Tribolium castaneum: one gene and its partner. The main gene of each other region encodes a partner of the protein of the gene in region 2 in a complex. Links are inferred from orthologs where the notes say so. Each region holds a gene or a part of one and is shown on either strand. Other genes may lie near its edges.

What was found. Proteins that work in one complex are often made in the same cells at the same time.
Region 1: the proteins of targeting protein for Xklp2 (region 2) and aurA are in contact, whole or in part, in a crystal structure (PDB 3HA6), measured with the Homo sapiens proteins. The link is inferred for Tribolium castaneum from reciprocal best matches to the Homo sapiens genes TPX2 and AURKA. Residues at the interface, in NP_036244.2 of Homo sapiens: Gln3, Lys5, Ser6, Ser7, Tyr8, Ser9, Tyr10, Asp11, Ala12, Pro13, Ser14, Asp15, Phe16, Ile17, Phe19, Ser20, Ile31, Asp32, Trp34, Phe35, Glu36, Lys38, Ala39; in NP_001310232.1 of Homo sapiens: Lys125, Arg126, Gln127, Trp128, Asp132, Glu152, Gln154, Ser155, Phe157, Leu159, Lys166, Glu170, Gly173, Glu175, Leu178, Arg179, Val182, Glu183, Ile184, Ser186, His187, Leu188, Arg189, Tyr197, Gly198, Tyr199, His201, Val206, Tyr246, Ser249.

The regions. Positions count from the first base shown.
Region 1 is NC_087394.1:2,112,294-2,116,049, forward strand, and holds the start of aurA (aurora kinase A), read left to right. Parts: upstream 1-1,484; 5' UTR 1,485-1,569; coding exon 1,570-1,996; intron 1,997-3,756. UniProt on the Homo sapiens protein: Mitotic serine/threonine kinase that contributes to the regulation of cell cycle progression.
Region 2 is NC_087394.1:27,765,382-27,769,137, reverse strand, and holds targeting protein for Xklp2, read right to left. Parts: upstream 2,476-3,756; 5' UTR 2,355-2,475; coding exon 2,267-2,354; intron 2,218-2,266; coding exon 2,089-2,217; intron 2,037-2,088; coding exon 1,937-2,036; intron 1,890-1,936; coding exon 1,793-1,889; intron 1,746-1,792; coding exon 1,480-1,745; intron 1,430-1,479; coding exon 910-1,429; intron 549-909; coding exon 150-548; 3' UTR 38-149; downstream 1-37. Other genes in the region: PIG-M (GPI mannosyltransferase 1), read left to right, coding at 1-24. UniProt on the Homo sapiens protein: Spindle assembly factor required for normal assembly of mitotic spindles. Required for normal assembly of microtubules during apoptosis. Required for chromatin and/or kinetochore dependent microtubule nucleation.

The sequences.
Region 1 (3,756 bases), about 26 Mb from region 2:
TTGGGACCAATTTTCAAAAACGCAACTTGGCCACACTGTAGGGCGGCGTTGCCGGGTTGTGCCCTGGCGCACTTTCCGCAAGTTTATCGAACAGCTGGTAGGATTACGTAATTTGCGATAATATCCAACAAATGTGCTTTGTTGTCCCGATTAGGGAAAAAAATCAGTGATAAGTGGTACAGGGACTTGGAAATAGGCACCAAGTGGGGTCGCTGATGTGGCAATGCCATCTAGGTATATTGTATCAGAATGGCACAAACTACGTAAATTTGTATTACAAGAAAACAAAATAACTTGTTTTTAGATGTTCACACCTTTAATAAATTTTTTTGGTAAAGTTGTCTTTTTCGCCTATTTTTTCTGTGATGTCCGAAAAGGGGTGATCAGGTAATAATCCGTTTTGACCTGATAAGATGCGGTGCCGAATTTCTAGGACTCGAACACGTAAAGAGAGGGTGCCCGGTATTTGGGGATTCAATAGTGCCCAATTTATGCACGCCTGTTATCATAACTCGCCTGTTTTGGTAATAATATTGTCCGATTTTGGGAAATAGAAAATAAAGATGCAATAAATGATAATTTACTGGACACCCTTCACAGAATTCTTGTGAAAAACATTTTAACAAAACACATGGGCGGTTTATGGTTTATGGTTTACGGTCCTTTTAAGCAAACGCCGCCTGATGCGCAAAATAGCTTTAAACCGTTTGTTGTCGGTGGAGAAAAGGAGAGCTAGGGATCATAAACTAAATGAGGGGTACGTACATTTCGTTCATGAAAAATTATTTAAAATTGGAACTCGTAGTAAACGATTCTACCGAAAATTCTTTTCACTTATCACACAGTTGTGTAATTATAATTAATGAAAACAGTGATAGTACCAAGTTGATTGTAGTCTGACTGTTCATGTAAAGCTCTAATAAATTGAGTATAAATGATAATCTGTTAGCAGGCCCGGTAATTCAGCCTGATTTATTTCCGATTTTAATTCAATTTCGGATATATTTTTTAACATTGTTCCGACAACTAAAAGGCCATAATTTTATTTTTGAAAAATGTCTTTTTTATTGTTGAATTGGTGGTCAAAAGGGCATTGTGTGACAAAACCGATTTCGGGGTGAAATGGGGCGATAGTGCATTTGCGGAGCTATAAATATTGAAATTAGGTGAAAAAGTGGGAAAAATTAAGAAGCAATTTGTGGTAAATAATTGAGTTTTTCGCTATTAGCAAAGTGACTTTCTTAAAATGTCATTTTTAAGAGGGTGTTTAGTGTTTTTTCGGATTTTTATTTTATTAAACGGTTTCAAAGCTGACAACCAAACATACATCTACGCAAATTGAAACGTATTTTGCTAGTGTGAAACTGGCTTCATGTTCGGGTTTCTTCGGAATTTCGAGGAGCTGGTTTGGGGAGCTGTCTTCACACAAATTTGTTTTGGGTTTTTCGTGTTGGAGTGTTGGCAGTTGAAAAACCGTTGACTTACGAAGTGACAATTCAAATTCGAACTTATCACAAGTTGAAATTGTGCAAAAGTGTTAAGTCGGAGTGAAGTGTTTTTGTTGTAAATATGTCCCAAAGGAAGGCCCCCGTGTGCCAAAACAAGGAGAACAACGTTCCGCGCGCCGCGGCGAAAAAGGGCCCCCCGGCGCAAAAGGGGGCTCTCTCCGAGAACAAGGCCCAGAAGGGGGCTGCAAGTGACACGGCTCAGGAGAGTTCGAAGGGGCGGCGTTGGACCTTGGCGGACTTCGATATCGGGAAGCCCCTCGGGCGTGGTAAATTCGGAAACGTGTACTTAGCTCGCGAAAAACAGTCGAAATTTGTCGTTGCGCTTAAAGTGCTGTTCAAAAGTGCGATCAAAGACTTCAATAACGAGCACCAAGTGCGGAGGGAAATCGAGATTCAGTCGCACTTGAGACACAACAATATTCTGCGAATGTATGGCTATTTTCACGACGAGTCGAGGGTCTACATAATACTGGAATACGCCCCCAATGGTAAGCCCCCACGTACAGTGGTCCAAACTGCTCAAAACCCGCCAGAAATTGGTGAAATCATTAAATTTCATGTGTTTTATTAACAAAAAAACACATTTAAATTGGGGCTCAATAAACAATGAATGAAAAACAAGAGTTATTCGGAAAAATCTTCTAAAAGAAGAGCCTTCTGAAAGTTGCAAACTAAGCATTTTTGAATGATTTCAGTAAATGGTTGAGAAAGATTTATAAAATTTGTGGGTTAGTTATTACATTAAGTTAAATGGGGAACAAAGTTACTACTAAAAGCTGTCTTAACTAAAATAAAACCATTAACTACTATTTTAAAAAAACGTCTTGAGGTCAATACATTGGATACGGAAAAGTGGCTGACTATTATAAACTAAATAAAAACAATTTAAAACAATAAAATTTGTTTTTTCCATTCCCAAAAAAAAATATTTTCAATGTTGAAAAATCTGGAATGACGAGAGTAAGCTTTGAATTATCAGTGTTAAGAAGACTTTAAACTAAAATTTTTAATTTATGGTGCACTGAATTTGAAGGCAAAAAAATGTTGGTTTTTGTTACCAAATTAAATGAAAATGTATTTTCACTGTTTATTTGTTATGTCAGTAAAACTATTTCGCATTGTTTTGTAATATTATATTATATGAAAGTAGATTTAATTTTTATACTTTTTTTTACGAAATTTATTTTGATAAAACTTTGTAAATCGGTAAAAAAAGTCATGTCATATATACGAGAAATTATTATATTGAAAGTTATTACTAAAGTTCGGATTCCTAGCATTTTGCTAATTAAGCTTTTCTTTTTCAAATGAACCAATTTTCTTAACTTTTATTTGTCAGTTTGGCTAAAAAACTATGCTTTTATGCCAAAAAGCGTTTTTTCTGCTATTTTTATGCTAAGGTTGATAATTCTCAAGTTTTTTCAGTGTTAATATTATATAATAGTTTTAATTTTTCAAACTAATGAACATTTTGAGACGTCTTGGCGAAAAGTTTGACGAATGAAATTCAACAAAGTTGAAAACAGAATTTTTAAAAAATCGTCCTCGAATTTTTTTTGTACTAACAATTTTTTTAATAAAGGTTTGTTTTTGTAAAATATTTGATAAATAAATTTTATTTTGAATAGCACTGAAGTTTTCTTTAAAAAATGAATTAAAAAACTAGTTTTCTCCATTCATTCGAATCAATATTTTCATTGATAAAAAATCTATGGAATGACAACAGAAACACCTAAGCTCGACGTTTTTGTGATTTTATAAAAAAAACAAAAAAAATGGTTTAGACTACAAAGTTGAATGAAAAATTTATATTTATGAGTTTTTTGACATATTATTTATTTGTTGTATTTAAATGTGTAATATTGTGTATAAAAGCAGATTCATTTTTCACTTTTTTATTACTAAATCTATTTTTGTTAGCTATATATTGTTATTATTCTTACTATTATTTTGGGTTTGAAAAAAATCAAGGTGGCTGCGCTATTTAGAATTTAAATAGTCTGTTTTTTGGCATTTATCAAAATCTAACGAAAAAAGGGACCTTTTAACACAAATATTTTTTTTCAATTAAAATTAAAATTTCGAGTTTTTAGTTAAAAAAAAGTGAAAAAGAACATTTTTTTGACCTAATTTTTTCTGGTCGAAGACGTGCTTCATGTTTTCCTAAAAACGAAGAATTTTAAATTTGTTGATAAAAAACTAATTAAAATTAAATAATGTTCATTTTTTTAATTGTCCGCCAGTTAAA
Region 2 (3,756 bases):
GCGCCGGTAAAGAAGGAAGTGTAAAGGAATCGTGCTGTTTGTAGCTAATTAGTTGTAATGTGTATTTGTACAGTTTATAACAGAATAAAATAAACCGAATAAAGTAGCAAGTAAAACGTAAAAATAATATCACCTTAAACAATTACAAATTATTCCTCAATATTCTCCTTGTTCCTGATCCTGGAACTGAACTTCGGACTGACCGGGTTTGTAATTTTATTCGCCGGCTTGATGGTTACTTCCTTGTACTTTTTAATTGGTTGCGCTTTTAACTCCGCCTGTTTTCTCAACTTCAACTTCTCCTCTTCTTCCTGTCGCCTCAGTCTCTCCTCAATTTCCCGTTTTTGAGCTTCAAGTCTCGCTTCCTTAGCTCTCACTGCCTCGTCAAACTCGTGTCGCTTTTCAAGTCTTTGATTGGTCGCAAATTGAAACTCTTTGATCACGATTCCATGATCCTCGCACTTTTTCGGCTCAAAAGGTTTCATAGTTAAGACTTTGGCGGGCCGTGCTTTGAAAGTGCCAAAATCCAATTCTTCAGTGCTGCGTTTCTACAAAAAAATACAATTTAAACTAAAACCAGAAATTCAAAATTTTGGGGTAAAAAGAATAACGGGGTTAGACTACTATTTATTTGTAAAAATAATAAAATGTTGAGCATTCTGAAAAGATGAGGAAAACTAATGAATTCATGAGAAATTTGCGAAAAATAAAGCATTATTGAAACCCACTTAAGAGACATTTACTTTATCTTCATTGGGTGAGGGAACAATTTAGCTAGAGATCTTACGATTTTTTTTGAGGATTTAATTCTCCCTTGCTCCCTTACACTTTTTTGCTTCTTTAACCATATCCGCATCGTTTTGGAAAATATTTTTTTTAACTAGTTTTCGGTAAAAACTTCAAACTCACAAATGATTTTGACGATCCAGGATCGCTGATATTTTCCTGGCTGTTGTTCCTCGACCTCAGTATAGATTTCGGAACTGGCCTAGCGTGGAACTCACGAGCTTTCTTCTCTTCTTCCAGATATCTATTAATCAATTCTTCTTTCTTCTTCATCAGTTTCTTGTCGCGTTCTTCGAAACTAAACGGTTTGACATGTGTGTTTGTAGGTTTGCATGGTTTTGGCGCTTCTTCCTGCTTCGTTACTTTATTTGGTGTGGTTCTGGCAATTTTTTTCGAAAAATTGGGGGACTCAGGCTGGGTCGGGGGCTGTCCCTTGGGTATGACTCTGAATGGATTGTGCAAACTTTTAGGCACAGGTTGTGCCTTGAATGAGGGGGCTTTATCAGGCTCATCGGGCTCGGGCTTCTTCCTCACTTCAGTCAAATGGAAGGGTTCCGCAACAGTGGGGCACTTTTTATCGACTGGGGGCTTCATGGGGCCCCTTAGGACTTTCTTGTTCACCGGATTTGCCTTGATCTTGAACCTTGAGATTATTAATTTATGAATACACTTTTTTGTTTGCTGTGCACTTACTTTCTGGCTTCTTCAAGCTCCCTCTCTTCTTGCTCTTCCTTTGAGAGTGCTGTCACTGGACGCACACGAGCGTTTGTGAGAAATTTGGGCGTTTTTGGGATAGTTGGACCTAGTGGGGCTTTACTGTTTAGGGGTTTGGAGCGGAAGCGTTTGGGTGTCCCAGCTTGGAATTTATTGACAGCCTCTGCTAAAGTCATGGACGATTGTCGGGCCAAGTTATCGTGCGATGTGTAACGTTTAGGTTGAGCTAATCGATTGATGTGTTCCTAAAAAATTAATTATACTTTTGATTTATCGCTAACTATAGAATTACCTTTGAGATTGTTTTTCTGCTGTTCAAGGAACAAGCAGAACTCGGCCTGGGCTCTGCAAGTTGGTGGTTATTTAGACATAACTCATCCATGGCTCGACTAAAATAACTGATTAAAATCGCAACAAATGACTTCATGAGACTTACTCGAGTCCGTTTTGATTTGGCACTTTCTTAAGACGTAAATCATTCATACTCAAAGACTTCCGCATCCGACTTTTGAGATAAATAGTCGAGCTATTCGTCTCTACAAAAAAAAACATTTATCACACCTAAAAACCCGAATTTTACCAACACACTTGTATCCTCCATAGGGGAGAAGAAATAGTCACTTTCGGGATCAGACACCTCCCTTTCAAAAACCTCTCCATTGCATTGGAAATTTTCTTCCAGGTCCTGGCCTAAAGGGCCGTTCTCTTCTACATTTTCTTTAAAAAACAACTATTGAAAACTACAAAACACATCTGCCAAACTCACCATCAAAGAAAGAATCACTGTTTAGTTCGTCGTGTTCTTGAGTGAAATCGAAATACTGTCGGGCGTTAAAAGCAAATGCATCGGCCATGATTTCAGCAAAATAATTACCGGCTTTCAGGCCACAAAAACAAAGTTTGAGATGAACTAATCTGTGCAACCGTTACTGAAGTTTGAAATGGTGAATTGCGCGCTTGCGTCAAAATCGGGCCTGTTGATTGGTTGGTTCAGCTATTGTTCTGTCAAGGATTTTTGTTCCCCGAAATTTAAAAATAAGCATTTGAATGGGCCTAAAACTAACCATGACTAAAACTAAATTAAGATTTGATGTTTTTTGGCCAATGCATGAAGCTGCATAGCCACATTATTTAATCATATCTATTGGTGTTGCATATGCAACTAAATATACACGCCCGTGATTGTTTATGCCATCTTGTAAAGTAATTAACTATTAATTAATAATTTCTAATTATGGAGCGCTAATTTTGATTATTTTCTAACTTGGAAATGAGGTTTTGGAAGCAGTCTTACCACATACATTTTTTATTAGAAAAAAGAAGCGTATTGGTGGGAATTTCTTTGAGGTAAAGTAAAATAAAAAATCTTCGCAGTTATATATTGTGAAAATTTATTTTGTATAATTAGCTGAAATGCAACAATAAATGAAACATAATTTATAATTGTAAATAAAAAAATTCAAAAAGCGTTGTCACTGTTCTCGGAACAAAGAATTATATCAATTTTTATAAATTATTATTAAGGAGGAAGCCTAGCCGGAGCCACTCAATAGTCATAACATAATTTTGTATATAGGATGGTCTTCTAGCTCAGTTAATATTAAATTTCCAGTTTTGATATTTTGTAGATGTTTTTCATACTCTAGGACACATTTCAAAAAAATATTTTTATTATACAGAGCATCTCAAAAAGTATGACGCTATAATAATATTGTTTTACACTTTCAGGACTAAAGTTGGTACTTTAGTCCCTGTTTACAGTGATTAAAGTGGGTCATTTGTTCCATAGGGAATAAATAAACTCTCTAGGGGGTTCAGTTCATATTTCATCCTTAGGGAATAAATGACTGACGTTAGTTCCTATAGACAGAAACTAAAGTATATATTTTAATCTCGGAAGTGCAAAAAAAATAGCGTATATACCTCGGGACCAAAGTACTAAATTTTTTGAGGGCTTTGTCCTCGAGGCAACAAACTCCACTCGCGGAATTAAATGCTGTACTTTAGATCTTCTATGTATAATATACTATTTAACGGCATCATATTATTTTTTTGTGCTCATACTTTTTTAGTTTTTTACATGTTCCTAAGTTTTTTTCAAATCGGCTCAGTTAATTTAATTTAATTTAATTAATTTAATTAATTTAATTAATTTAATTAATTTAATTAATTTAATTAATTTAATTAATTTAATTAATTTAATTAATTAAATAAAGTAAAATCAAAATTCGGTTTTACTTCTTTACGTTAAAAAAT